2 linked regions of the Oryzias latipes genome follow. Each later gene encodes a partner of the first gene's protein in a complex. Links are inferred from orthologs where the notes say so. Each region holds a gene or a part of one and is shown on either strand. Other genes may lie near its edges.

Region 1 (15,328 bases):
ACTAAAGTCAAACTTGAAGCACATAAGCTTTTAGTGAGCAGAAAACATCCAGCACCCACCATATATTAACAGATTCTGAGCATGTTCTGGCGGTTCCTGCCAGCTCTGGCTTTGGATCAGAACCGCTGATCCCCTCCGGTTTACCTGCACGGTGCCGGCTCCGCCTGGAGATCAGGGCCACCGTGAAGCGAGGGTGGATGTCGTCCACACAGGTGATCTCCTTTGGTGGAGACTCTGGACTGCTCCGCTCCTCATCGGACGTTTCGTTGTAATTGACCACCAGCTCCTCCACCTGCACAAAGCCCTGGATGATGGGGGTCACCCAAAGGTCGGCCTCTGGGACCTGGAGGGACGCGGACGGACCGCAGGAGGTTAAAGCAGTGAGGTCACCTCTCACAGAGAAGAATGCGGCGAGTATGTATCTCTACCTGGAGGTCGATGACGTCTTGGATCATGTGCTTGTTCCAGAAGAAACGGTCGTCCACCTTTTCAGCAGATGGACAGTCAAAGGTGAGAAGACACTTCCAGACGTACAGAAGATACACGTCCGTCCTGCTCCCCACCTGCTTCCACAAGGGTAAGCCCGACCTGTCCGAGTCTCCCTGGCGCTGCACGCTGTTGGTCAGGTCATAGGTCAGGCTGTAGTAGAAGGAGTCGGAGTCCATGAATATCTTGTAGAGCTCTTCCAGCAGGCGCCTCTCCAGACGCTCCTTCTCCTTGTTTTCCTTGGCCTGGAAGGCAGGGGGATACTGGGTTGGTGCAGAGGAAAAGGAGGAAGAAGAGCCGTGAGTTTCAGGAGGCAGAGAGAAGAGCAAACACGAAGACGGAAAAGTCCTGCTGAAAACAAACAGCCCTACCTTTTTCTTGATGGGAACCGCCACGTTAGATTTGATCTGACTGAACGTTTTGATCAGAAACTTGGAATCCTCCGGAGACTGGACCAGCTTCTCAGGCTTATCGATGCCAAAATGATGTTTTTTGCAAAGCTGAAGAAAGAGGATCCCGTCAATCATCCCGGACCAAAACGGAACGCTATCGGGACGATGAAGAGGGATCTAGTGAGCACTTTCACTACACTGAACTCTACCCGCCTAGGTCTAAGTTTAACGTCTTCTCTAAAAGCAGGATCTCAATGGTGGAAGAACCACAGATGAGGATCACAACTGATCCTCTGAACTATGCTCCTTTTTACTCACTTGAAAATATTCAGTCTCATCGTCCATGAAGCTTCCCTGAAAAACTGAGATTTTAGCAACCGTCTTCATCGTTTCCTGCCTACATTTAAAATCCAGTCACGCCTCCTGCGTTCAGCAGCCAAACGTACCTCCAGCTCCAGCTCCAGAGGCTCCTCGTCCGACAGAGGAATCACTGCGATCTTGGTGATCTTGTAGACTTTGTGGTTTCCGGGTAAATGACCCACCAGTGCTTTCTGACGGATTAAAACCAGGCCCAGGGGCAAGTCTATCAGGGGAGGAAGAAGATGAAGATTTCTCATCTGCATGGAGGTGGAAGAGACCAGCTGCTGACCAAACGTTCACAAACACTATTAAAGAAATATTTGAATCACGTTTCACACCAGCAAAGTCACTGAGTCATCAGGACACTCAAACTACAGCCAGAGATTTTAACGCCTTTACTCGTCCACAGATTAGGGAATGAGTCGGCGATGATGCGTTCAGGCGCACCATCATTGCCAGAGCGCGTCTGTTCCACCCAAAAAGCAATGAAAGAGAACTCTGGACATGTTTTTCCACGTTCCACCCACCTGTGTGAAGCTGGATCTTTCCAACGATGCCTTCCACCAAACCCAGACAGACCGGATTCCAGGCCAGCAGCAGATCCGTGGCTGAGACAGAAACGTGAGAGCAAACATCAACGGCATGAATGCAGCCCAACAGGCTGAGAACGGCCTAGGCGGGTGCTGAAGAGAAGATTTAACGTGTTCTAAACATGACACCAACACAGTTTGAAGAAGCTCTTCAGTCTGTAGAAAGGAGCTGCTGTTCACCCACAACAACATGATGTTTGAACATCCAGAACCCGTGTAGGAAACTGGAAAAGGGAAGGTTGTGGGTTTGGGTGGCGAACCAGCCGGAGTGGCAGCAGACAATGACTCTTCCTGTTCCACAGTGAGTGGATTCAGACCAGCTTCTGCAGGGAACGTTTGCACGGTGGCCTTTACCCCGGAGTGGAAACACGGCTCTGCTCCTGACAGCGGTCCAAGCGCAGCAGTGAGCAGCGGAAACCCGTTTTCCAATTAAATAATGAAACAGCTGTGCAACTAAAAACCTGTTCAGGACAGCTGCACCGCCAGGGAGGGCAGGAGGAAGCAGCCTTCTGCCGAAACCCCTCTGTGTCTGCAGCACCTGGAGAACCACTGGAGGGTCTCCAGGAAGGATCCGCTCGTCTGGAGGGTCTCCAGAAAGGATCCACTCATCTGGAGGGTCTCTGAAAATGATACTCGTCTGGGGTCTCCAGGCGTTAACGACTGACTTCTTCCTCACTGGCGAGCAGAGCAGAGTCCTCCTGGAAGCCCTGAGGGAACTTTGGAGTCTGTTGTGGGTGTTGGCAGGTCGCTCCGGAGCCGGGAAGTACCGGGAGGTGCCTCCCGGCTCCGCGCGCCCAAACCTGCCTCCTCCTGACCGGACAGTGAGTCACCGCGAACGGTGACTGATCTGGGTTAAGGTCACTAGACTGTTGAGGATTGAGCGGCAGCTTAATAAAGAGTCTATATAATATAAACACACATGTGGGTTTAAAAATGACACGTAACGAACATGCGCGCGCCGAGGCTGTCGGTACCAACTAACCCGCTCTGAGTGTCACGGAGCCGTCCTTCCGGCTGCACCACAGCGCCCGGTCCCCGCTCTGAAGAATGTACTCGTCTTTGGCTTGAAACAGCTCCATCTCCTCTTTTCTATCCACCAGATCCGCCGTCCTTCCACTCCCGCGGTCGGGCTCGCGGCACAGATGTGAAACGTCGCTAGCTTAGTTACGATTAGCCAATTTTCCCCACGGAGCGCCGGCTAGCAGCCTGCTAAGCTAGCCGGTCATTTCCTTGCCTTTCTGCCCACGAGGAACGCGCTTTGGACGGGGTGCTCCGGCATCCTCCTCGCGCTCATCCCGGCCGCTGAGAACGCAAATAAACATCCGTGCGTCTCTACAAAGTGTCCCGGGTGGGAGCTGCGGCACGACGTCACTGACGTTTCCTGCCCCCAGCAGCTCGCGGCGTCATCACGCACGCTCAGGTCGGTGGATCAAAAACAAGCGTTTAAAATGCAGTTCCAACCTCCACATATGGGGGCAGTAGCTGCAAAAATGAGTTCACTCTGTCCAAAATAACTACGGCGAAGAAGTCCTTCAATTCCAACAAGTAAGTTGAGTTGATATAAAAAGGAAAAGAAACGATTTTTAAAATTAACTTTAGACCACAATTTAACCACCATAAGCACAAATCAGTCATAAAATACAGCAGCTGATGGTTAAAGTAAACTAATCAGACTAAAATAAATGGGCATCCCTGCCTCCTCAGAAGAGGCTCTAATTTAATCACCTTTTTGCTAAGAAACAGTTTTTAGCCAGCAGCTGTTCACACTTAGTGTTTAAATTTAACCTTAACACTTTACACATTTATTCACCATTCGTTTGGTTTATCTCAGATCTTTTTCTGTACCTTCAAACTGAAAACTCTTCAGGTTAAAAGTCATAATGGAGAAACCACATCACGTGAAATATCTGAAAATGGTTTTAGAAATCTGCTGTTCAGCGGAATGAAAGCTGTGTATTCCTACCTGGTCCCGTCAGTATAAACTCTCACGTTTCGGGCGGTGTGAGCTGAAGACCCCACAGGCCGGCCTTTGCTTCAGCCGTCCCTGATGCAGGATGTCTATATCTGCATTGTGGAGATGCTGGGACACATCTGTCCATCGATCTTTTCACAGCCGCTCTAATCCTGACATCTGCCCGTTTTTTTGATGCTTCCTGCTGCAGCGTCTCTGAGGATGTGATGTCGGCTTTGCCATCTACTTTAATATATTCCACCCACTGGGAACATGAAAATGCATCTGACAGGCAGGAAACGATTAGAGCTTCATCTCTTTATTTGAGTTGTTTTCACACAAAATTACCAAAACATTAAAATATATAGTAAAAAACAAATTTGCAGAATCTGTAGGAACAAAGTGTTTGAAACATTTATTTTCAGAAAAGCCAGTGTGACTCGATTTCTGCCAACGGCTATCAAATCCTAAAGTCAATCAGCCACAATCTCTAATCCTGTAGAATCTGATTATTAGTCCAGGACCAGAAGAGGGGGGGCATCATAAAAGTAACGCTGACGTGCTCAAATGTTTGGTCGTGTTGAAGCCGTCACGGTTTCACTCCGACAGACCTTTGGTGATCTACAGACATTCTGACGCCGTAACACGCCGGTTTGGTTAGCAGCCGACGCTGATTGTCTCCCGTCTCAAACAGACGACACATTTCACCCCGTGGGTCAATAAACATTCAGAAGTGTAGCAAAATACTGTATATACTGATAGAAAGATTCATGTGGGACTGAAGTCAACCGACTGATCCAAACTCACTCAAATGATCATCCTTCAAAGACGCGTTGCTGATTCTCAACACGTTTCAGTGACAACAAAGTGCAAACACAACTCCAAAGGCAGTGCACACAAGAAGCAGCATGTAGTAAAGATGTGACTGTGTTCTGTGACAGAGCGGCTCCATCATGAGCCCTCAAACACCGACCCGTGTGCTTACTCCACCAGAAGACGCGTCACACCGTTTCCTGTCAGACTAAAGGCAACGACACATAGACTCTGTTAGGAAAATACTGGGATTTCTCTTTGATGCTGTAATAAAGGCCTCATTTCAAACTCAAATTTGCTTAGCGGTTGCCGTCAACGCCTCACTGATGGTCGCAGTCAAATTTACAAGGACACTGACGGCGAGAACGATGGCTCAAAAACGAACGGCGCTGAGCTACCATCAGTTAAGTGCTGAAGGAACAAACGACCACTGAACGCATGCAGCTTCCACAAACGCTTCAGGCGGAGGAGTCCGCCGGCATCCTCTGCTCCTGAACGGGAGCTCCTCAGAAAATCTCCTTGGCCGTCACATAATGTTCCTTGGACTCTCCTCTGTCACCGTCCGCCGGCGTCTCACTGGTGGGCTTGGCTGGCCGCTCCTCCAGCTGTTCCAGCTCCTCCAGTATGGTCTGAACCCGCCGGACTCCATCGCGCCGGGCCTGCCGCACATCTGCGCGTCCCTCCGGGTCGACAGAGTCCAGAGCCAGCAGCTCTTTGGTCAGCAGCTCCTCCAGCAGCAGGTATTTCTTATCATTTTTCTTCCCGCTGAAAGCCTTGGCCTCCTGCTCCAGCGAAGCCACCCGTCCCACGATCTGCTGAACCTTCGCCAAGCCCGGGTGAACGGCGCCCTGCTCCCCCTCTGCTCTGGTTGGGGGGGCTTCAGGGCCGGCTGGGTCCTGAACCTCTGCTTTTGGAGGGATTTGAACCGTGATGTCTGCAACGTGATGCTGCGGCTCCTGGGACTGAGGCTGCTCCAGATGTGGAGCGTCCACCTCTGTGAGCTGCGGTTGAGGAACCGGCAGGTTCTCTGCTTTCTGCAGCTCCTGCTCCACTTTCTGGGCCGGGTCTCTAGTGAGGAGGTTCTGCTGAGATCCAAATAACAAAGTTACAGTTTTATGTCAGAATCTGGGACACGCTGGCAAAAGGAAAAGACCGGAAAGCCCACCTGCGGTCTGTCCGCCTGCAGCTGCGATACCGTCGGGGACTGGCTCCTAAGCGAAGGTGGGAGGCGGGCAGACGCTGCGTCCCGGTGCTGCGGGAACAGCGACGTCGGGGAAGCACTTTCCCGAGAAGACGGCGCCGCAGAGTAGGCGGGCCGTTCGTCTGTCTGGAGGCGCTGGTAGGGGGCGCGCTGAGAGTAGACGGCGGGGTTTACCTGAGGCGGACCCCCTCCGCCCTCATGGATGACTGGAATAGGAATGTAACCGGCCTGGAGGCCGGTGCTGCCGGGTCGACACGGTTGGTGGTGTGTGGCGGTGTGCACCTGAGCAGCAACACAGTCAGAACGCAGTGAACACGTTTGGTCGCACAAATGTTACCCGCTTCAGCTCATGCTGGTCCCTCACTAGATCGCCGGCCACCTTTTTATAGCCAATTTCCATTTTACTTCACAGCTCGCTATGTTCTGCATCCTGATTGGCTGTTGACCTTGTCAATCAATCTCCTCCGTGTATGAAATGCGTTATTTTGAAAACTCCCACTGTAATCAAGGGTGGCTGTCAGTGAAGAACCCAAATGTTACCCGTACCTCTGTGGTTGGCGGCGTGGGCGTGCTGGCCCTCCCGGGCTCAGAGGAGCAGCTGTCTGAGGCCACGTGTAACGGCGATCTGGGCCTGCCGTGAAGTCCGGAGGCGTGCGAAGGAGCCTGACCTTCGTACCGGACACTCTGCGCTGTGCTTGGCTGGATGTACGTACAGCAGGGATGCGGCGGCTGCTGCCGCAGCTCTGCGCCCTCATGGAAGACGGGGATGGGGATGTAGCCGGGCCGCAGAATCGGGTGCTTCATCTCTCGGGTAAAGGTCTTCTGGGTCTCCTTAGGATGTTGTTCTGGAGGTATGTTGGGTCCGTTTGCTTCTCTACTCTGAAATATAGGCAGGGGAAAGAATTTAGAACCAAAAAACCTTTAAATTCATTAAAAAAACACACACAAATCTCAGGTAAAAACTTTAAGACTTCCACCACTGATTCATCAGTGATATTTTGTATAATTGTGTATTTGTGCTTCTATAGTGCTTTTCTAAAGCCTAAAGTGCTTTACACACTCTGATGGGGGCAGAGCAAGGCCAGAATCAAACCCGAGACCTCCTAATCCAGAGTCAACCGCTCTACCTCTGCACCACAGCTGCTCACAAAGCCCCCGTCTCATGCTGCCTCCATGTTTTCCAGGTGTGTTTTCCAAATATAACGGTGCTTTGGGCCGTTGACGTCAGGTGAGCGTCTGTGCAGACGTCTGTGTTCGCGACCGTCCGGCCGCAGGTGGAAATCCTCCACAGATCCACGTTCTGCCTTCTCCAGATCCACGTTCCGCTTTCTCCAGATCCACGTTCCGCTTTCTCCAGATCCACGTTCCGCCTTCTCCAGATCCACGTTCCGCTTTCTCCAGATCCACGTTCCGCCTTCTCCGTCCCGGGTCACATTTCCTCACCCAGCAGCCAAAAGTGACGCTGCCCTGCCAGAACAACCTCTGCATTCCAGCCCGGCAGCTGCTAGTTTGCCTCCTGAAGATGTGTCCCTGTGCCCAGCGCCCCCCCCCTCTGACCCCCAACACGCCAACATCACACAGGACAGCACTTTTAATCTGAAGGAGACCAACTGTTTGTCTTTTTGAATGTTCTTTATGGAACAGGTCACCGCTGTGAACTATTTTCCTCCATGAAAACCGATCAGACAGGAAGAGAATTTAAAAATAAAAGCACGAGATGTCAGGAAGAAGTGAAGGAGCAGAGAGCAACAGGTCTGATGCCCCCCCCCCCTCCCCAACCAAAGGAGACCAAAACCTGGAGGAAAACGGTCAACAATCGGTACCCCGTCGGTGTCTCCTCCGGAACGACCCTTTGCCCTCTGCCCGGGACCGCCCGCCCAGCAGCCCCCGCCACACACAGCAGCCCAGCCGCGGTCCCTGCTGGGAAAATGACCTTAATGTGAAAACGGCCCCCCCGTCCCGGCCGCCACATACTGCAGGGTGACTCATCGCGTAATAATAGTTATGATGACACGAGGACATGGCGGGACCGATCAGCCGTTACCACCGACAATACAATGTTCCGCAGAAACAACCAACGCAGATTCCCCGCGAGCGCTTCCCGCCGGGGAAGCAACTTTGCCCGCGCGCTCCTTCACCTTTGTCGCGACGTGTCTCGGGTCATTCCAGGTTGTGGTTCGGTTGTTGTGATCCACGAAAAACGGCCATCCGGTCTGGGGGTCGATTTTGACCTCCCAGCCGAGGGGCAGGGGGTCGCTGTCGTTGTTAGCCATGGTCGGCGCGGGGGCGCGTGTCTGCACGGCGCTCATGCTGCTCGCGCTCCGGTACTAAGACATTTTATACGGGCGGCGGGCGCTTTAAAGACTCCGTGGAGTGACGTGGGGAAGTGGGCTGGAAGCTTCTGGAAATAGCAGGGTTAACTGTGGGGGCGGCAAGGGGGGCGGGGGGGGGGGGGGGGGCGGAGCTGCAGATCCAAGCCGGAGACCCCCACGAGGGTTTACCGAGAGCAGCTCCACCTGAAACGTGACGACGGACCGGAGAGCAGCGGAGACGACTCCATCAGAGCCCAGACGGGGGGGGGGGGCTAAACATGTTCAAAAACACATGCGTGCCTCCGGCGAGGAACACATGTTCAATGAGATTTGGTCACTAAATAAACTAGTCCAATTCTATTTTATCATTAAAAATGAGTAAAAATCTACAAACAAAATGAAAAATCAAAAGGTTCAAACACAACCCCCCCACAAAGAGACAGCTGCTTATAACATTACTCTGTTTTCCAGTCCAGACAAACATTTGCTTTCATCAATATTTCATATTAAAGCCGCTTTTTGGAATCTAAATTCTAGTGGATACTATCTAATGATTATGTTAAACATATATGAAGGATCTAAACTTTAAAACAACTTTAAAAGATTTAAAAACATACAAAGTAGTCATTCTAAATATGTGCAGCAAACAGCTGTTTGATTATCAAACTGATATTTGAAACCATTGTTATTTATAAATAGTTTAAATTATGTCAAATGCTGCAAAACAGGAGAGTAAATTATTCATGTTGAAAAAATTAATAAATAATTAGGAGTGTGACCATTAATTTTACCTCAATCCAGATGGAATTTTCTAATATTGATTTAATTGATTTTGACACGAGTTTATAATGGTATAGGTCCACTCGATTGTACAAATAGAAATTAATTAATATTAATTAACTATTAATTAACTAGATTAATAGTTAAACTCTTAATAATAATAATAATAATGTCCTTTATAAAGATAAGGCTAAGCTTTCTGTGACTCTATAAGGTCATGTCAGAGACTGTTTATGACTCACCATATATACTGGGATAAACTGTTTATGGGTTAGAGTTATTGTAAAATAATCCATTCTCCCTTTACTATACTGTTGTTATAAGGATAATCACATTAGTGTCGTGTGAATTAATTTTTTTTCTTTACATTTAAATTTTACACTAAATACATATTTTATTTATCTTCATCACTCCAAGGCTGCTGCAATTACATTGTATCACCATATACAATGACAATAAAATTATTCTGATTAGTCAAAAATCTGTAAAAAGAACTCTACAGGCTACACAAAGCCTAACTTTATAAAGCACACAGCATCAAGTCCGGACATTACAGCAGAGTTTAAACAGAAGAATAAAAATAACTCGATAGCTGAACATTAAAACATGAAAGGTGTTTAAAAACAAGTTCACACGCGCTGACACCTGACCCGAGCTTCCAGAAATCCCCTCTGTTCCAGTTATAGCTGACACAAACGGGCATCGTCTCAGGAGGGTCCTTAAAACAAGCGAACCCTTACTTCCGCTTAAAATCTAAGGAAATGACGTAACGTCAGGGGAAAAAAAGACTTTTCTCTATTGCCGTTTAATAGCGTCACCCTGAAATAGATGATTGATACAGAAAATCTAACCTTCGTTTTTCAAACGTTGCATTTTCTTATAAAGGTTATAAAGGTTTAAATTTAGGCTACTTCACCTTTTCCGTAGGACAGGCTGTTACGCATGCGCAAGAGAAACACTCATGGTCTGACGTACGCTCTGTTCCCGTCAGTTAGCATCTGAGGAGCTGGGTAACTAGCTGCTTTGTATTTGACACTAGTGTCGCTAAATGACAGCTAGGTATTAAGCAGCTAACGTTTTAGGACCACGTGACTTTCAGCATCGATCATGGACGACGAAAGCCACCCCAGAACTCTGTAAGCCCCCCTCCCCCGGTTGTGTCATAGTGTTTGCTAACATCTGGAAATATCGGCTAGCTTAGCTTGTCAATGTTAACCCGGTGTGTTCTAGCTTTCCTATATGTGGCGGTAATGTAACCGCAAAGCTTGGAACGAAATAAGACTAGACTTAGTTTACGAGGATATATATATATATATTTATATTTTCTACTAGTTCATGGAAAGTATGTGTAACGGGATCTACATAACCTTACTCTAAACAAATGCAGAATAACATAGAAAGATGTTACTTTTAACTGGATGGTAATGATGTAAATCCCGTCTCTGTGCTTTAGGTACGTCGGAAACCTTTCCAGAGATGTTACCGAGATTTTGATCCTGCAGCTCTTCACCCAGATCGGACCCTGCAAAAGCTGCAAAATGATCACAGAGGTACCGTTCACCAACTCATGTAAACACACAACCATCTCATGGTTAGCAGGTAATGGAGCATTACTGGTTGATGTTCAGATTTCTTTTGGTATTAGTATCTGACATAGGGCTGGATCGATTCGTTTTAATGATTCCATTCATATAATTTGTGGTTGATGATCCGATCCTCTGTCCTAAAGTGGATCCAGATCCTCTTGATCCAAACTTCCAGCAGTGAGACTCAGACAGAAATTCCTGCTACTGAACTGTTTTCCAGATTCTTGGATTTCTTCCAGATCATCAAGTTAAATGAAATCTGTGTCCAAACCAACAAGTAAACTAGAATGAATGTCAAATCCATTCACATGTTAGTTTCCTAAAGTTCACCACTGTTGTTTTTCCACATCCAAAGAATCCAAAGGGAACATTCTTAGAACATTCTAGACACTGGATGGTCACATGACTTTATTCAAAGTCTGTCCACACATTGGACTGGAATGATGGACTGATGTCACATGTGTGTCGTCTGCTGTGATTGGTCGGTTTTACCTTAGAGACACATAAATCTATTGTACCTCAATCCAGATGGTATCTTCCAATTTCAATGTAATCAATTTATTTCATTTTGAAATGATTTTATAATAGTTTAGGTCGATATGATTTATAAATCGCCTGACAGATGGATCTGGTTGGAATAACCAATGAATAGTTTCTTCTCCACTATCTGATTTAATTTGTTTTTCTACATATGAAAAAATGTAAATAATGTATAAAAAGAAGAGGAATAGATGTCAAAGGTGGAAAAAGCAGATTTTTGCAGCACGAAAATCAATCCTGAGGATTTTCTCTTGGAGTCTAAACAGAAACTGTCTTTTCTTTAGACCCTGTAGCTCTGTGGAGCAGATTTCACACATTCAGATTTGTTTGATTGGGAAAAATATGAGATGAGATGCAGAGAAAAGGCAACAAATAAAAAGTAGGTTCTATTTCCAGACAAACGTTAAGATAAAGGTGAAGCATGTAACCTTTTGGTGATCACAAATGTGACGTCTCAGGTCTGGTGAGAGCGGTTTTCATGGAAACGGATTTGCGTATGAAGGTGATAAAGCGTGGAAGCATCTTTGTAAATCGTTGGGGTTCATCTTTCTTCTTGCAGCACACTAGCAACGATCCCTACTGCTTTGTGGAGTTTTTTGAACACAGAGATGCTGCAGCGGCTCTGGCGGCCATGAACGGGAGGAAGATTCTGGGAAAGGTACGCTTAAATATGTTTACAGCGTCTGTTGCTTCTAGAAAAAATAATAGGAATGTCTTTCTAGTTTCCTGTGATGGGAATCATTGTGAACTCTTCCTTTCTGCAGGAAGTCAAAGTAAACTGGGCCACCACCCCAAGTAGCCAGAAAAAAGACACTTCCAGTGAGTTTGCACCCAAACCCACAGATCATTTTCCTGACGTCAAGCTGTGTGAACCAACAGGAAGGAGTGTTTCTGACCCGTTTGCTTTGGTTCTAGATCACTTCCATGTGTTTGTGGGTGATCTGAACCCTGACATTTCCACAGAAGATGTTAGGGCTGCTTTCACACCGTTTGGGAAAATCTCGTAAGTTTTTCTTTTAGTTCTTTTTCTGCGTAATGATCCTAAATGGACTTGTATTGTTCTGCGTGTTGAGGCTGTCCTGCTGGCCTTTACTCCGACGTCTATGAACACGTGTGCATGATAGAATCAGGTCACGGTTAAGTTCACATACATGTTCCATCCATGCACTGTCTGTCTGCTGTCGGCATAAACACGACAGCCCCGTGGAGCTCCTCTTTCAGCATAAGAACCAAAGGGAAATGAGTTCATTCCAGTTGGACCTTCATGGGATGAAGACATGTTCGGCTGGACGTTTCCTACCGTCTGGTCAAACGGATCCGTCCTGGATCTGCTTTGGTTCAGAGCGGTCATGTGACACAAACATTTCAGGCTTTTTCATAACAGAGTTATGCGTTTGTGTGGTGGAACTGGAACACTAAACATCTCCAAAACGTTTGTTAGTCGAGGCTACGTTTCCACCTTCTTGATGTTTTTAGGATTTTTAAAGCTCTGACGGAAAACATCTTCCTGCATTGCATGTAAACCGGGTTGAAGGTCGATGTCAGAATATGAGCTGCATATTTGAGCTTTTGTCATGAAGAAGAGGCTCCTCTGAAGAAGAACACGCCTGGCTGGTTGTTTGTTCTTGTTTTGTAGACCCTTTGACATGTAGGGTGTGGTAAGTAAACCATACTACAGCGCTCAGCTCTTCTTTTTGAACCTGATCCGCCTTTAGACGTCCGTCTCCGTGTAATAGCACTTTGGTTCTAGGATTGTACAGAAGCATGAAGGCTAACAGCAGCAAACTGCAGACTCAGATGTAGATTTCTTTCTCTACTTATTCTATTTTTTCATATAACTTTATATAAACTAGATGATCACTTTCCAGTCATCCGTGTTTTCCTTTGAATCTGTGTTTTGAATTGTCTCATTTTGATTTGTTTCTAGTGCAATGATCCTCTTCCAAAATTTCTGAAAATGTCAATTTCTCAAAACTTGCAGCTCCCCAAACTCCGTACAAGCATTGACCAGGAAAAATAAAGAAATCTGTTAACAGGCCACGTATGCCATTTAATTCCTTTTTTCTCTTCTAATATTCTCTATATATTTCTATCTGTAGGAAGAGCACCAACTGCAGATTTTAAGAATGCATGGTAATCCATATTCATTCCTTTGTGAATATTAATCAATAGCTTACTGTTGTGAGAATTGAGCCAAAGATGGTGCTCTGCTGGTACACATGCAGTAGTATCAGAGTATTCAGTACCCTAGGCTGCATGTATTTCTTTGTATTTGTTTTTTGGTTTTCTTCAGTGTTTCTTTGAAGTTATTTATCAGTTCAGTGCTCTCAGTAAACTAGGCCATGCTAGCATAAATACATGACTGTAGGACAGCATAGAGGAGTCACAGTTCAGTGTTTTTCGTGGTTCCTGTTAGTTTGAAGGTTTGATTTGTGGCTTTATCGAGTCGTTTTCCTCTTTGCTTTTAGAGACGCCCGTGTTGTGAAGGACTTAACAACCGGAAAGTCAAAGGGGTATGGATTTGTGTCCTTCTACAACAAACTGGTAAGTCCCCGAGCAACAGCTCGCCCTGAAGGTCACAGCTCTTTTCCTTATTCTCCTTAGAGGGCTTTTCTAGTCTATGGAATAGAAATAATGTGGTCAGTAATAACAAGAGTACAGTGGGAGCAGACAGGCCCAAGGTGTCACCCATATGGCTCAACCCCCGTTTGGGTCAACCCCCCCGTATGGGTCAACCCCCCGTTTGGGTCTATCCCCCGTATGGGTCTACCCCCCGTATGGGTCTACCCCCGTTTGGGTCTACCCCCCTTTGGGTCAATCCCCCGTTTGGGTCTATCCCCCGTATGAGTCTACCCCCCGTATGGGTCTACCCCCCTGTTTGGGTCTATCCCCCGTATGGGTCTACCCCCCGTTTGGGTCTATCCCCCGTTTGGGTCTACCCCCCGTAATGGTCTACCCCCCGTAAGGGTCTACCCCCCGTATGGGTCTACCCCCCGTATGGGTCTACCCCCCGTTTGGGTCTATCCCCCGTATGAGTCTACCCCCCGTATGGGTCTACCCCCCTGTTTGGGTCTATCCCCCGTATGGGTCTACCCCCCGTAATGGTCTACCCCCCGTATGGGTCTACCCCCCGTATGGGTCTACCCCCTGTATGGGTCTACCCCCCGTATGGGTCTACCCCCGTTTGGGTCAATCCCCCGTTTGAGTCAATCCCCCGTTTGGGTCTATCCCCCGTATGGGTCTATCCCCCGTATGGGTCTACCCCCCGTATGGGTCAATCCCCCGTTTGGGTCAATCCCCCGTTTGAGTCAATCCCCCGTTTGGGTCTATCTCCCGTATGGGTCAACCCCCCGTTTGAGTCAATCCCCCGTTTGGGTCTATCTCCCGTATGGCTCAACCCCCGTTTGGGTCAACCCCCCCCCGTATGGGTCTACCCCCGTTTGGGTCTACCCCCGTTTGGGTCTATCCCCCGTATGGGTCTACCCCCCGTATGGGTCTACCCCCCGTTTGGGTCTATCCCCCGTATGGGTCTATCCCCCGTATGGGTCTACCCCCCGTATGGGTCTACCCCCCGTATGGGTATTCCCCTCGTTTGGGTCAATCCCCCGTTTGAGTCAATCCCCCGTTTGGGTCTATCTCCCGTATGGGTCAACCCCCCTTATGGGTTTATCCCCCGTATGGGTTTATCCCCCGTATGGGTTTATCCCCCGTATGGGTCTACCCCCCGTATGGGTCTACCCCCCGTATGGGTCTACCCCCGTATGGGTCTACCCCCGTTTGGGTCAACCCCCCGTTTGAGTCAATCCCCCGTTTGGGTCTATCTCCCGCATGGGTCAGTCCCCCGTTTGGGTCAATCCCCCCGTATGGGTCAAACCCCCGTAGTGGTCTACCCCCCGTAGTGGTCTACCCTCTTATGGGTGCATGCAGGGCTCCAGACTGTGACCAATTGGTCGCATTTTGCGACCAAAATTTGAGAGTGTGCGACTGAATTTTACATCCAGTCGCACATGTGCTACCCGTAAATTTGCCTCCCCCACCCTCCGTATTTTTTATACATTAAACTTGGAAGGGGCACGTCAATGATCAATGAAATAATCAATGAGACGCGAGCGCACACACGCGCAGACAGACGCACACACTCGCGTGTCATTGAGTGATGCCTGAGGCGACCAATGCGTGTGAGAAGAATAGGGAAAGTCACTGCAAGTGGCTAAAATGTGTGGAGGGGGCGGGGCCTAGAGACAATCGAGTGCGCGTAAAAATCTGTGGGAAGGAAACGGAGACAAATATCATCACAACCTCATATGTGCGTCTGAG
Region 2 (15,314 bases), on another chromosome or scaffold:
TAGCTTTGACAATTTAGCTACAAATGCAGTTTTGTTTAAATGCCCGTCTAATCCATCCATCCATGCATCCATCCATGCATCCATCCATGCATCCATCCATCCATCCATCCATCCATCCATCCATCCATCCATCCATCCATCCATCCATCCATCCATCCATCCATCCATCCATCCATCCATCCATCCTCTAAACAGACTAATTCTTTAACACTTAGTTCTTTTAATTACTGTAGCTTTTTAACTGCTGACGTAACTGTCGCAATTCTAAGAATTTCTGAAGCTGAGAAAAGCAACTTGGGTGATGTGCAATACTTTATGCCAACATGAAACATTTCACTAAAGCTAAAGGGTTGCATCGCTGCGCAATCAGAATTGAAGATGCAAATAACATGAATTGCATAAACAGTCGTGGAGTTAAGAAAGTTCAAGGAGCGTTACTGCCCTTTGCCCATTGCAGGGCAAAAAAACTATTTTTTTGAGGAATTTAACAAACTTTTCCAATATTTAGCTGCAATCTAAATGAAAATTATTTTGAGTGAACCTTAACAGTTGACCAGCAGGAGCTGGATGTGTTTACAATCCCCTTAAGCCACCTAGGATCTTGTGGGCATAACAGAATTGTTAGTCCTGAAGCCCACATGGGAAACCCTTAAGGGGTAATAAAATTAGAAAATGTGACAAAGAGTTACAGGAAAAAGAAATTGATCACAGAGAAACTATTAACACGGTTGAAAAAATAAGCAAAACAGAAAATATCTTATGGTGCGATTACTGTCGCTGAGAGCCGGCATTAATCCCAGATCATTTTAATCAGCTTCCTTCAATAAACCAATTTTTGCGAGGCAAAGTGGCTCTTCTGACAGTCAAATCACTCAGAGTGGTCATTAAGCAGACAGCTCGGGGAGTTTCATTCAAGTTTGGCAGGCGCACAGTTTATCTTAAGCATTGATTCTGTACAGCTGCCAGAAAATGGTCCGATATTCTTTTAGCCTGCAGGGGTTCTGAGGAAAGACAAGACATGAAGGCCACGGGTGGAGTGAGGTTGTGTTTATGTGTGTAGCTGACACGCTCGGTCCTACACACCACACACACATACCATCGCACAACACCAGTTAGGAGATTTGAAAATAACAAGCCATTTTACAGACAAATGCTGAAGTCTTGTCTTACAGAACAGTGAACCTGACATAAAAACATCCTTTCTGCCTAAATACTGAACTTTTTTTTTGCTCTATAAACCCTAAAAATTGATGGATAAACCCTTTTATTAGATCTTATGTATTTAGCCTGAACATTTCTATTTTGTGTCTTTCCATGTTGCCTTTTGGTACATAATAAAGTGGTGAATCCTGTCTTTTTCAAGCTACTTCCACTCCTTCCATTGAAAGTTTGCCCTAACGTTCTTGCCTTTCTTCCCAAAAATGATCATCATAAAAAAACAGAAGAAGGGGGCTGTGTGAAAGTAGCTCACTTCCGATCTTCCCTCTACCTATACAACATGTAAAGTTTGGATGTGAGTACTTTGCTCTACAACAGGACAATAGGACAGCGGCTGTAACGCTGAAAGCTACAAAGCTAGCGTAACAATGTGCAATTTAGCGCTAGCTCATGAAATCCATTTTTAAAGATTATTCGATTCTTTTAAATTGACTTTTCCTTTATAGTCTTTTTCTAATGCTGATCAGAGTTCATTTTGGGCAACATCGCCCCCATGTGAGCAGCTGTTGGAACTGCAGGATTTCTCCAGGTGGTTTGTTCTGCATGGGCGGATGTTTATCTGCATCGCTGCCCATTCCGATCGGGTCAGCCGAACTGCCCCATCATGGAAAAAACCCACAAGACAATAAAAACTGCGTGAGTTTGCCAGTTTGGCAGCAATATTTTCTTTCTTTAGAAGCCCTAAGAAAAAAACGTGTCTGGCAGGTTTTACAGACAAACGTCTATAAACACATTAGCAAGATTTAAAGACTTCTGGAAAGATATTAAACCCCACAATGTAAAAGTTTTAGGACATTTTAGAAATTAATGAATGCTGTTTCATTTTTCTTGAAATCAAATTCCACGGATGCTGCTGCAAAACCAACTCTGAAGAAACATTTACATATTTCCACAGACACAGGTCTGGAATGATCTGAGACTCTCTTGAGCTGAAAAATCTCTGCTTCATGGATTCTGAGGTTTACGGATGGTAATCCGCAGCTGCCATCATACTCACTGTATCTTCTTTGTGAAGTTCTTCGTCACGATGCCGCCCTCCTCTTGCTTCTCTTCATGTTTTCCTGTTAGCAAAAAAGAGAAAATGCAGATCAGGAGATGGGCGGAGACACTTCAGAGGTCAGGAGGTCAAACTGGATGCAATGACTAAGCTGTGCTGGCGCACGCGACGGCTCATGTGACGGTTTGAATCTGCCGTACTGACGCGTTTAAAAGAAGTGTTGATGTAGCTCAGAATACATCTCTGCTGCTCCACCCTGGAAGCAGCTGCTCCCTGGCTGCGAAACGTCAACGCCGTGGACAAAAGTGCACCCAACCCCGCCCTATGACCCCTTTCTGTGCACTCCAGCCCCGTCAGGGTGATACATTACACCCCCTGAGTGACGGCTCTGTGTGGCGGAGTTCACCAGAGGCCTTGCAGAGGAGGCTGCCATGTGAGATTGCTGGGAAGACTCCAGCATGACTTCATGGGCGAAGCTGATCCCTGTGGACATTTCCTGAAAAGGTGTGGTCAGAGAGCAGCTCAACAAAAAGACGTCTCCATTGGTGTTGAAAGCTGTCATGACAAGCGGATGACAAATTCCTGATGTGGTTTTGTTTCATGAAGAAGAGGATGAAATCACTGAAGGATTTTCCCCCAGCGAACCTCAAAATTAAGATTGTTCTTCAGAGGAAGAACGCAGAAAACAGCAAAGACCAGATTGTTTTTGCAGTTCTTCTTTCTTATTGCTTCGGAGCAAAAATGTTCCCCGGCCACATTCGAAAACTCAACAAACCCCCCAAAACTTTTTTTGTGCCCAAACGAAATATTTCAAAATCCACTAACAAAACCCAAACATGTATGTAAGGGATATTCAAAGGCAGTTTTAAAATTATTATGGTACAGGACCGACAGCTTGGTGGTCATTTTGTGGCAAAGTGTGAATTTGGCGATTTTCCCACGATTTGGGACCTGTTCAAGCAATCTTTACTAAATTTCACACACGCACTGCCAGTTTAAGTCCACATCCACAGCCAAATTCCGCTGAGTTTTGGAAGAGGCCGCCATCTTGAATTTAAAAAAAAAAATCCCTTTCGACTTTCTAAAATTTGAAACTCCTCCTAGAGTTTTCAATCTATCACCTTCGCGAGCATCAGTGGGAAACTAAAAAGGAAAAAGACATTAGAGTGGCAAGCTTGCAAGAGTGGCGTTTCCCTGTTACTCACACATTTTTTACCAGACTATTGTTACATTTTAATACATAAGTTGTTGGCTCAAGCTGGAAAAAAAATAAAAACAATAAAAAAACACTGTGACATACAATACAAACATATCAGGAACGTGAGCGTGATTGACAAAAAATCTCTGTTGCAAAGGAAATCCCAAATTTTACTTTTGCCAATTCTTCTAAAAATAACATGGAACTGTTTATCACCTCCAGGTGACCAAAAAAATAAAGTGGTTGCTATGGAGATTAAACCAATAAAAAGCTCCCATTTTGAAAAAAAGTTTTTTTGTTTTTAGGAATTTATTTTCGCAGTTCTGAAGGCAGAAGGGTGGTAGTGAGGGGTTGGGTGGCAGAATTTCGGCCGGTCAGGGTGAGTCAGGAGGAGGCTGTGGGTGGGGGGGGTGCATAGTGCCTGCAGGCCGTACAACGCAGCTCCTGGCTTATTGCTTACATGAACAAGCAGATCTAAAGATGCAAAACGAAAGCATCTTCATTTTTTTTTGTTCTTAGCACATCTCAACTCAGAGCAGCACAGACTGTGTCAAGTCTCTTAAAAGGTTATTGACAAGCTACAATCCAGCCAGACGTTTATTCATGAAATAAAAGCTAACCCTTGATCAAAGTTTCCTTAAGTTTGTTTTCAAAGGCCCAAGTTGTTAAGCAGATAAGCTCTGCAATTTCCTGCACTTTTGGATCAATATGCTTCTCCATTGCAGAGACCTTAACAGTCTTCTAGAAGCTGTTGCCAACCAAACTTTTCAAATCAGCAGCTGTCATCCTTTTTGAGCCACATAAACCATGTTTACCCTGCAGCAGCTCACGCTGTACCACTCAAATGTGTCTCAATTGAAATGGAGTGGGACATCATTTCCCCACAGACAAAAGAAACAATATTTGTTTTAATTTGGTTATTTCTGAAATGGTAATCATGTTTTTTAATCAATTGAGATGTGCAGCTACATTAAAAGAAGAAATCAAATACTTTTTACAGTTAAAAAATGCATTTCCAAAATGCTCACATTTGCTTCCAACAGTTGAGCTTCATCTTGTCTAAGACTGAACACTTAAAAACAGTTTTTAAAAAAGCAAATTGAATAAAGAAAGAGGCTTTGTGAGTATAAATGCTTTTACTTTGAAATACGTTCCACGGGCCGTGCTATCCTCTCAGTGAGAGGTTTTGTTGATCTCTCAGGTTATCTTAACATTCCAGCAGTTCGTTTCAGTCGTTTCCATCAAGCTGGTCAAATGGATCATGTTTTGCAGTTGGTCTATTATTGCATTTATGCTTAGCTTTTCTTTTTTTGTTAAAAGTAAAATAAACAAAAAACCAACATGTTTTATTTTTTAATCCAAATGGCATCAGTTTGTCTGGAGGAGTTTTAGAAACAGTACTGTCTAGTTTTGTAAAACTAAAAACTTCTAGCAACTTTGTATATAATTTCTGTTGGTTCATAGTTATGTAATGAGAATCTATTATAAACTCAGAAAATAATAACAATTCCAAAAAATTCTCATGCTTCATTTGCACACTTCAGGGAATGTAATGACATCTGTATGCCACTAAGTGTCCTTCTCCCTTATTAGACTGAAGCCTCAAAGCTTCCAATTGATTTTCTTTGAGCAAAACAAAAGTAAAAGTGTCAGAGTTGATCTAATTTCCACAGTTTTGATTGGTCTTGTGTTTCTCTTCTCCTTAATGCTTTGTCTTCTGTGCTTCTGTGTAAAACTCGAGTGTTCAACATTTGTTCACTCAGCTGTTGGACACCTTTAATTAGGTTGAATGCATTCCCTGCCACACTTTTAGAACCACTTGAACCACTGTGGCAGGAAGGACCAAAATGGCGCCAACCCCAGCTGGCATCCCACTGACGTGTTTATAAAAAACCCAGAGCTGAGTGAGAGGAGGAGGTTCTCCGACCTCCTTGCCCTCTTCAGCTCAGGGAAGCCTTGGAATAATTTGACCCTAAGAGCCTGGAGAAGAGGAAGCGTTTCCACATCTTCATCCAGCTATAGTCTGCATCCTGCACCATTACACTCGGAAGAAGCTCCAGCCCCTTCCAGAACATTCTTGCTCCAGCCTAAATCTAAATCGAGCTCATGAGCAGCTAAGGGAGCGATTTTCCAAGAATTCAAAAACAGGTGTCCAAGCCTAAGTATCGGCTTCACAACTTAAGTTCCAGACAGTCTTCAAAATCTGTCCTGAACTGAAGATTCAGAAGATTTTCCAGACAGAGCAGGCTGCTTTGGTTTCTCAGTAAAAACATGTTTAGTTTAGTGCTTTTTATCTTATAATTACGTAAACATTCAGAAAAAGCTGGAGAAGAAATTAAGAGTGTTGTTTTATTTTTAGCCTGAACATCCTGGAAACAAAGATGGGGGCTCCAGTGTCTTAAAAGTGATAGACGTGGCCTACTTTTACACTTCATGTCAATGATTTTAGTTGTTAATGTTTTGCACGTTAGTTTGCAAACAGAGTCAGAGTGTCTTTTTTTTAACATTAGATGCAGCAGGTTTGCGCACTTTGGCCCCAGATCATTAATCATTAACATATTGAAAGTTATGAGACATTAACACTCAAAGGTCAGGGTCACAGAATGGACCCTCAAAGTTTTGCCCTCTGATTCAGGCTGAAAGCTCACCTGACACCTCCACGAACCCGTCCCTGGTCTTCACGTTTAGCTCCTCTGCTTTAAAGCTGTGCACGTTCACGCACACTTTCCACGGCTCCCCGCCGCAGCTGGTGGGGGAGCCCCGGGACTGGGGCTCTCCGTACCGGCTGCTGGTGTAAACCGCGGGGCCCCCCGTCGACTGACGCGCGGGGAAGCCTGTGCGTAAACCGGTGCCAAACGGCGAGGCGCCGAGGCGCGAGCTTAACCTGCCCGGCCGAGCCCACCCGGGCCAGTCCATGCCCAGATCCTCGGGGAAAGGAGGCATCCCAAAGTCATCGTCCATAAAACGGGACGCCAGTTGATCTCTGAAGGGAGACTGATCCCTGAACGGAGACTCAAACGGATCTCTGGGGAAGCGCTGCCGGTTTCCCATGGTGTAAAAGTCTCCCTCTGCCATCTCCACTTCAGCACAAACTCAGAAACTTTTTGGAAATGGATTGGTTAAGAACTTTCTCCTTATTGAAAAATAGTACTTCTTCGGGAGGGGGATAAACCTTATCTGATCTGGAGCGCGCGTACCGCCCGTTACGCGCAAAAGCCTATCCGCTAAACAACATCGACACGGAGCGCGGGTTAAATACCCAGCTGGGGGCTTCACGGGGCAGGAAAGTGCTGGGAGGCCCTCGAAAGGCCCTACGCTGTAAAAAATATAAACCCAGAACAAAAAAACAAACCTCAAAATTTCACAATTACATAACATTCATAATTACATAACATTCATTTAATCAAAACTAACGTCTAGCGTTACGTGCGTGAACGCAACGAGGGAAAGTACTCCAAATAACGATAACATTCCCGGTAGATGTAAATATTTCTTTTAGTGGAGGCGCAGCAGCTGGGGGAGGACCCTCCCCCCGTGACTCATCATGTTTTAATAGAAGATAACTCAGAGCTGCTGCAGGTCTGAAGTCACACTGAAGAAGTGACACCTGAACTTCTTCGTGAAGATTTGCTGATGCAGAAAATCCACCTGCAGTGACCGAATGAAGACTTTCAGGATGACGCATCAGACACTAAACAGCTCAGTGACATGCAGCCAAAGATGCATCAGCATGAAGGGGAAATCACCAGTGAAATAGTCAATGGAAACTTAATATGACTCCATAGGATTATTATATATTTTTAGAGGTAAATTTAGTTTCAGACTTGATTACTGTTAAATAAATAAATCACCTAAACCACATCAGCTACTAAAAGATGATAAGAAAATTCATGTGTTTGAAGGTTTTGTTCTTTCTGCTAAAATAACTTTTTTCTATCAAATCTGTATTCTTGCTAATATTAAATATGTTTGATAAAGAGAGAAAAAAAGGAAAGTTCAGCCCTGTAACATGTTACTTAGTATTTAGACAATGAGCTGTTTGGTCAAGACTAGAGTTTGTCTTCTGTCACCTCATCAAACAAGTGAAAACAAAAACCTCAGTTTCCTCAAACACAAACATTTTCACTGCAATATGAATGCAGATGGACTTTGTAAAGGACTGAGGTGAAGAAGCAAAGGAAGGGAAAAAAGTGAGAAGTGATTGACAATGGTCTGTGGCCAATCAGACGTAGAACACAGCGTGCTGTATTAAAAAAAAAAAAGAAAGAAAGTGACCATTGGCACGTAATTCTAAGATACATGTTGGGCGGCCAGTGCTGAACTTTTTTTTTGGCCACACTTATTTTAAACACTGAAAATACGTGGTTTAATATAGCCGTACTTAAGATATATGCTGTGCCACTCGGTATCCATGCGTGTTTTATCAATCACCCCTTAAAATACCTGCTACCGACCACAAAATTTAGCCTCAGATGCACTTAAAATATGTGCGGGCAATGCAGTGATGTGCTTAGCCACAAGGATTACGTCCGTTTTTGTGCTTGGTCACACTTAAAATATTGTACTGGTAAAAAGTGCAAAACAGTGAGTCCGCAAAGGTGAGCCACAATATAGCGAGAGGTCGCTGTATAGCATGTGAATAGCAGTTTATCCACACTGTGAGGACATTTACTTGTTTTGCTGTTTCATTTCGTAATAAGCCACACAGTGAAGTGCAGAGACTCCACCTACTTTAGGAGGAAGGAAAGTGCTGCTATAACTACAACTGGAAAAACACTTAAACAACACAGATCTACAAAAAAAAACAATCTTTTTATGGTTGATGGGGAGCAGTGAAAAGCTGCAAAAACAAGCGTGGCGTCATAAGAGATGGTGACTCTGCCAGTGGACATTTTTCAATTTCACCTGTTTGGTCTGAAAAACAGTTATCATTGCCAGGATACCATCTCTGTGTTCATCCACACAGGGCCAGGTTTCACACTAAGGATGCAGGTAGAAGTTTAAAAGATCATAAAACATCATTTATTTCCGTTTGATTCTTATTTAAAACACAAACAGAAGGTTCAATTTTGTAATTTTATTTTTAGATCTTCAGTGTGACTTTGAGCTGTAAAAAAAAGTAAACTTTCGCTCAAAAAAGGTTGAAAAATGCTGATTTAAAAAGAAAACAAATGTGGGAGTCACTTTTCACCTGTTGTTGGAAAGCTGAGAAAGGTTTCAGCGTTCCTTGTCGCCGGACTTTCCCATCTTCATTTTTATTTCAATTGACTGCTGATAAATTTTGAACTTGTTTGAAATCTAACATGAATCTCGTCACATTTACAAAACTATACACTCTTCATCCAAATAACTGCATCCATAAAGCCTCAATTTGTTAAATCTTACTTTTTAACCTCCATGCAAACTAGAGCAGGTTGATAACGTCTATGTTTATAATAATTAGGTAAACAAAAACGTTATTTTTTTTTATTTTAAATGATCATATCAACTTTATGTGTAAATAAAATATCAACACATGTCTTTGGGAATTCTTCTTGTTTAGTCTTTTGGATAGATCTTCTGTAAAAATATTCATGTTGTTTATGATTTTTGTTTATTTTCCAGTAAAATCAGGATCAGCCCTCTGCTTCTGCCCTGATTTAAAGATAAAAAACAGTTTGGGGGTTAGGTGGTGGACAGCAGAAGTACATAAAACCTTCACATGGCCGCTCTGTCCTGAGGCAGATCAGATGTTCAGCCGTCTAAGAGTCATTGAAGCAGGTTTTTCCTCTGGTTGCATTCAAATGTTGCTTCGGCCGCTCTCTGTTGTATTACACGCACTGACATTTCAGCAACACCCCCCACCCCATGTGATCAGAGGATAAATTAATCTGACATTTGAGCTGACAGGCTGTTTACTCTGTGTCAGCCCACCTAGGCTGAGAAAACATGGTTGTTTTTGTGGAGAGATCAGAGTCAAAACCTTCCTGAACGGTGTTTTTCGCAGACTTCCCTCTGCAACATCAGCAAACTAAACGTCTAATTCTTTTCATTTTTTTCTTCCTGTTCTTTTAACTTGTTCTGTCCAACAACTGAGCAAACAGATGAGCGCTGAAGTCCTTTTGTGTTGGACAGGTTTTGCTATTACAAAAAGGGGTTATGAATCTTCAGATAGCCAGGATGTAAATTTGTTTAAACCCCTTTGTGTTTTTTTGTTTTTTTATTCTTTTATTTATTTGTTACATTTTGTGTTTTAAGTATATATATACATATTCTTTTTATTAAAGGGGAGGGAGAGGGGGAAAGTGTGTGTGTGTGTGTGTGTGGGGGGGGGGGTAGAAGAAAAAGAAATAAAGAGGGAGGGGGAGAAAGTGAGGGGATACAAGTGCTAAATTGCTAATTTGAATAGGTTACGATTCTCAGCTGTGAAACATTTATACTAGATCTGCAGAAAGGCAAATATTACATCCAAACATGAAATTCTGACACTAAGATAAGTGGAAGATATCCATGTCCATCAAAAACACTGTGGATTAAAGGATTAAAGCAGATAGGGAGCAGTGTGCACGTGGGGGTGGAGCTACATGCACCCTGCCAAAGTGAACCATGTGATCATAAGAGGAACCAGATCCTCCCCAGCCCGACCAGGAGAGATGGGGAGACCCCCGGACCCGGAGCGTCCCAAGCCAGGTGCAGAGGAGGCCCCCCGACAGGGGCCCCTCCGCCACCGGGAGGCATAGGCTAGCCCAGCGTCAGGACCCCCAGGCCACAGGACAGGCGTGCTCCGCTGTACCAGGCGGAAGCCACTGGGGCCACCGGGCGCTGGACACCGAGATGCGGGCCAAGGACGAGGCCAGGGCCCAGAGGACCCAGGAGCCGCCCACCACCCAGCCGGAGCCTTGTCACCGCAGGCCAGCCCCGGCGCCCGACCCAAGCAGCCCAGAGATCACGAGGCAACCACAGCTCCACCCCTACCTCCCCCCACACTACACTACCCTCTGCAGCCCCCCTCACCCAACACTTTTCATTTTTTAAGGGAATCAAATGTTTAATAAGTCAGCATGAGGAAGGTTTTGCGGGATCATTTAATGGTCAGAGTGCAGACACATGAACAGTTTGGCACATGGATTTGCACTGAATAAATACAGGAAGAGTCCGTTTGGATCTGCAGTCTCAGGCTGAGCGTTCATGCAGGAGGATGCAGAACAAGAACAAAACGCAGAAAGAAAAGGACTGTTTTCCCCAGCTTCAGACACTAATGCCTCGTTTTCCTGCGTTTGATCAGCAAACTGCGGCTGCGGCTGCGACTGCGGCTCCCGCAGGAGGAGTTCCAGGATGAGCTGCGACTGTAGCTCCTGTAGGAGGAGAAGCTGTGGCTGCGGCTGCGACTGCGGCTGCGGCTGATGCTGTGGATGGGGCTTCGACTGCGAGTGAAGATGCTGCTCCAGGACGACACGCTGGTGGAACGAATGCTGGAGGGGGGGCTTGGCCGGAAATAAGGAATGGGCCTCTTCCTCGCACTGAAGAAAACACGAAGAAGAGCCTGCTTTAACTTTCAGTATTCTCACACTGAGGAAGCAGTTTTAAACTTTTCCTTCTTTAAACTATTCATTAAAAACTAGCTCCATTCAAATTTTTTTAGCCAAAAAGTAACACCAAAAGCCCTGTTTGTTTTGCTTCAAACTAACATTTTTCCACTTCCTGTAAACCGCAGGGTTTCTTATCTCCAGTCCCTGGGAACCACCAGCTGCCTGATTTCAATGTTTTCCTCCTCAAACATACCGGCTTAGGAGATCTTTACGACCTCTCAGGTGAACTCCTGCTGAACTACTACATCAGGTGTGTTTTAGCAGGTAGCACGCGGGTGAATGAAGTGGAGAAGTGTGGGGTGCCAACACTTTTTCTGCATAAGAGCAACTTTAAAGCTCCAAAAGATATATATATATATATATATATATATATATATATATATATATATATATATATATACACACACACACACACACCGGTATATATAGGCCTTTGTATATATATTTATCATATTTCTATACTTAAATACCAAGAATTCTTATGAAAAATTGAATTTAAAGTTAATCAAAAAATTATTCAGGGATACGTTTAGATGCATCTAAATGCAGTCCTCTGTCATTTTTCCTTTAATATCTTGATGAAATCAACCTGTGTGTTGGTTGTCATGTCAACGGCGCCCCAGCAAACGCTGGGTCGACGACAGAAATGTTCTGTGTGCGTTCTGTTGGAGGTTCTGTTTAAGTGTTGGAATAAGGCGCATTAGCAAATACATCCACGTTTAGGAGTCTGACACTGAACGCTCACACCTTTCCGAAGTTTAGGAGGAAGAAAAACTGGGATCTGTCCCTCAGCGTCGTCAAACACACAGGCATGTGTCAGAGAATGTTTGATTGGGTGGTCTGCATGTCAATCAAGCGACATACTTTATGGCGAGGATGATCATTGGCTAATGGCAACTTTTAAAAATATATTCTTATCTGTTGGTCCCCAATCGCAATCGGTCTATCGATCTTGATCAGCATATTGGGAACCCCCCCCTGTTGACACCAAATCACCCAGATTTTCTATATTTTAGATCAATTGCTTCTCCTTGAGGCCCAGGCAGCTGCAAGTGGGGCTCGGCTTTGGAGCTGCTCTTACTTTAGATCAAAGTTCTGTGAAAATGTTCATGTTCTTCGTGATTTCTGTTGCTGTAAAATCTCACATAGTTGATTTATTTTAGCATTCCTGCATAAATATGATTCCGGTAAAGTTTCAGGTAAATCACATTGTGATTTTTTTTCTGCAAACCTTATGGTTAAAAGCAGTCTAAAAGTTTGAACTGTATTTGTCTAAATCAACTTTAAAGAACATTTTTCTTCTTTGCAAAACACCTCGAAGGGCTTTACATAAAATAAATAAACAACACAAATAATTGTAATAACAATAATCACAACAAAAGTCCACACATGCCAAAATATAATACAATAATCCTAACTGTGATTTCTGAACTAAAAAGTGTACGGCGTAAATAAAAAATCAACGCACCTTGTGATGCGCCGAGCTTCTAGATGACTCGGCGAGTCCCTCCTCCTCTTCCTCATGGGAGTGTAGGATTTGCGCCTTCCTCGCTTCCTGACTTTCCGTCCGTGCTTTGCGTCTGTCTCTCTGGAGTCCGCTCGTCTCTTTCTGTCTGAAAGTCTGAGGAAGCAGCAATTACACCACAAAAATACTGAAGTAACAGCTTTCAGGTCATTCTTTTACATCAGTAATGAGAAATAATTACTTAAATTGTTAAATCAATTTTTTTTCTTCATTATTTAGCGTTTTCAGTAGCAGAGCAGAAACACTGTTTCATGGTCCTGCAGCAAACCTGGTGTGTAATTTCTTAAATCTTTTTTGTAATTTAAGTTTGACCTTACCACATGTTACACCTTTGAACCAAATTTTGGGGAAAATGAACCTGGAAAGTGCATCCCTACTGCATACATTTGCAAATATTTTGCAAATATTGACATTGAAGATGTCAAAGAAATATGTTCTAAACTTGAGAAGGATTCATTTTTTTATATATTTTTTTTACATTACTTTCTTGTCAACAAGACTAAACCACTGTTGCCGTACAATGGCAACTAGCTCCTCCCACTAGCACCCAGCAGACTAGAGGCCCCACCTCCAAGTACTCAAGAGGAGCTCAGGCCAGGGCCCAACCGGTGTTTGGGTGTTTGGCGGACCAAAGTTGCTCACGTGGGTCTCAGTGGGGGCTACAGACAACCAAACACATCAAACTCTAACCAATTGGTACCACTCCATCCACCAACACATATCCACCACCAGGAAACCCGTACCCAGGAGGGGAGAGACGGACAGAAAGGAATTAGTAGCTGAAGTTCACCTGTCATCACTGTGTCTGGAGTAGCTTCCTCTGGAGCTCAGGCTGCTCATGCTGCCTCTTCGCCTGACATCTGAGTGACTGGGGGATCGTGAGTACGAGCTGTGAAGACATAAAGTACATTGGTGCTGCAGGAGACGTAGATTTGAGCTCATTTGCTACACATCTTGTCAGATCTACCTGCGAGAAGACAACGAGGAGCTTCTGGAATAGCGTCCCAAGTATTTGGAACTCCCTGAGGATCTGCTCCTGCTGCTGGAAGAGCGACCTTTTGTCCGAGACGAACCCCTCCTCCTCCTCCTCGATTCACAGCTGGTTGACTCAGATGATCCGACAACCTCTACGTGACACCCCAAGGTTATCTGCTCCCTGCACACACGCACAGAAATTGCTTTGAGTGACAGGACTTTAAAAACATAGCAACAGAAATCATCATTCCATCATAAATCCATATTTTAATTTCTGTGATTTCTTGACGTAAAGTGGTACATTCCATCAGATAGTCTGTCTTTATCTGCAGAGATTGATTTATTTTTTAGTTAGGCCATACTTTAGCCGCTACAAGGCAAAATCCTCTCACAGTCACCTTCAACAAGGGCGGCATCACACTGTGCGACAGTTCTCCTCAGGTGACTTTATACAAAGTACAATTGAAGTCTGTAAATTCGCCCTTTCCACACTTCTCTCCCCATGACCTGGTTGGAAAACTTCATGGGACAGAGGAGACTGGAAGAATTTATATGGAAGGACAAAGCAAAAACATTGCCGGTGGGACGGTCAGAGAAACCCTGCTGAACTGTGTGATGACCCCTCCTCCAACCTCAATTATCAAGTCGCCAAAGTTGCTTTTTAGTGAAGTGGTTTTATGTGGTCCAGTGAACTCACACACACACATAGCCAGTGTTTCTCTATTCCTTTAACATTTTTTATACATTTTTGCCAATAGGCCAAAGCCTTTTAATAGGAGAATTCACAGGAGAATTTTCATAAATATGTAAATATAAATTCATATAAATGTACCAAATAAATATAATAAAACAGTAAATACGATCAAATGAAACTGAGGAGTTTATTGTTTCTACTTTTCAGGAGGAGGATTACAGCCTAAAAACATCTATATAAGTGAAACATGACTACTATTTAAGTATTTTAGAATTGAATTAGCATTTGAAATAGACCAATGTGTAAAATCAAAAACTCATTCAGCTAATTTAGCTTTAATGTTGGCATTTCCTAGTGATTTTGGTATTCCTTAGTTTGAAAAGCCTTTTCAGCATCAAGCCTCTGTAATAGAATTGTGTTAGATCATGTAGATAAAAATAAATTGTCAGTAAAGACATTTTTGGGGTTCTTTCCCATCCAAGCACCTAAATTTTGTATTCCGGCCAGAGTCAGAGATCCAGACCGTCTCGGTCCAACACAAGGCAGGTGGATTTAAATATTACAAAGTCAAAGGTTTGCTGTGCAGACTTCTCTCATAAAAGTAGGAACGACAGAGCAAAAAATAGACATGACAAATGAATCAGGAGGGAGAGCGAAGCAGAGACCAAGAGATGGAGGCAGATGGCTGCAGGCAGAGATGGGAAGAGGGGGCGGAGAGCAGGAGAAGCAGTCAGAGCTAAGAACCAGAAACGGGACAGTCCGAGTGGTTTATTGTACTTATTGTAAACAAATTATGTGATTTGTGCTTCTGTTTCTGTGAGCTACTTTGATGATGGGACTTCCTGGATAAGTTCTCACTTATCTATGCTGGAATCCCCAAATGTATTGTTACCCCTTTTTTTTTTTATTTTAGCTAATTTAATATGAATATGACCTGTTTAGTTCAGCTGTATAATTATCAATATTCAATTATATCCAGGCATCAGACAAAAAGACAACTGGAGAACTGCAGCCCGTTGGATCTGCACTGAATATAGTTCTTCAGAATTTTTTAAATCTTTACATTAGAATTGTACAAAGTTCTTCAGCTAATCTCTTATTTCCTTAATTTTTTTTGGCTCAATATTCATTTGTCGTAA

Evidence for each region.
Region 2: bag3 (region 1) and hspb8 share a complex: the UniProt entries of both Homo sapiens proteins name them as parts of the chaperone-assisted selective autophagy (CASA) complex. The link is inferred for Oryzias latipes from reciprocal best matches to the Homo sapiens genes BAG3 and HSPB8.

The regions. Positions count from the first base shown.
Region 1 is NC_019873.2:29,853,189-29,868,516, reverse strand, and holds bag3 (BAG family molecular chaperone regulator 3), read right to left. Parts: upstream 8,180-15,328; 5' UTR 8,103-8,179; coding exon 7,932-8,102; intron 6,673-7,931; coding exon 6,340-6,672; intron 6,076-6,339; coding exon 5,758-6,075; intron 5,678-5,757; coding exon 5,099-5,677; 3' UTR 4,078-5,098; downstream 1-4,077. Other genes in the region: inpp5f (phosphatidylinositide phosphatase SAC2), read right to left, coding at 145-343, 429-485, 564-749, 858-986, 1,325-1,461, 1,766-1,846, 2,811-2,907; tial1 (nucleolysin TIAR), read left to right, coding at 9,993-10,021, 10,339-10,435, 11,571-11,669, 11,776-11,830, 11,927-12,014, 13,480-13,555. UniProt on the Homo sapiens protein: Co-chaperone and adapter protein that connects different classes of molecular chaperones including heat shock proteins 70 (HSP70s), e.g. HSPA1A/HSP70 or HSPA8/HSC70, and small heat shock proteins (sHSPs), e.g. HSPB8.
Region 2 is NC_019867.2:3,763,325-3,778,638, reverse strand, and holds the start of hspb8 (heat shock protein beta-8), read right to left. Parts: upstream 6,666-15,314; 5' UTR 6,489-6,665; coding exon 6,062-6,488; intron 2,280-6,061; coding exon 2,216-2,279; intron 1-2,215. Other genes in the region: srrm4 (serine/arginine repetitive matrix protein 4), read right to left, coding at 10,648-10,912, 12,450-12,602, 13,297-13,395, 13,474-13,662. UniProt on the Homo sapiens protein: Involved in the chaperone-assisted selective autophagy (CASA), a crucial process for protein quality control, particularly in mechanical strained cells and tissues such as muscle. Displays temperature-dependent chaperone activity.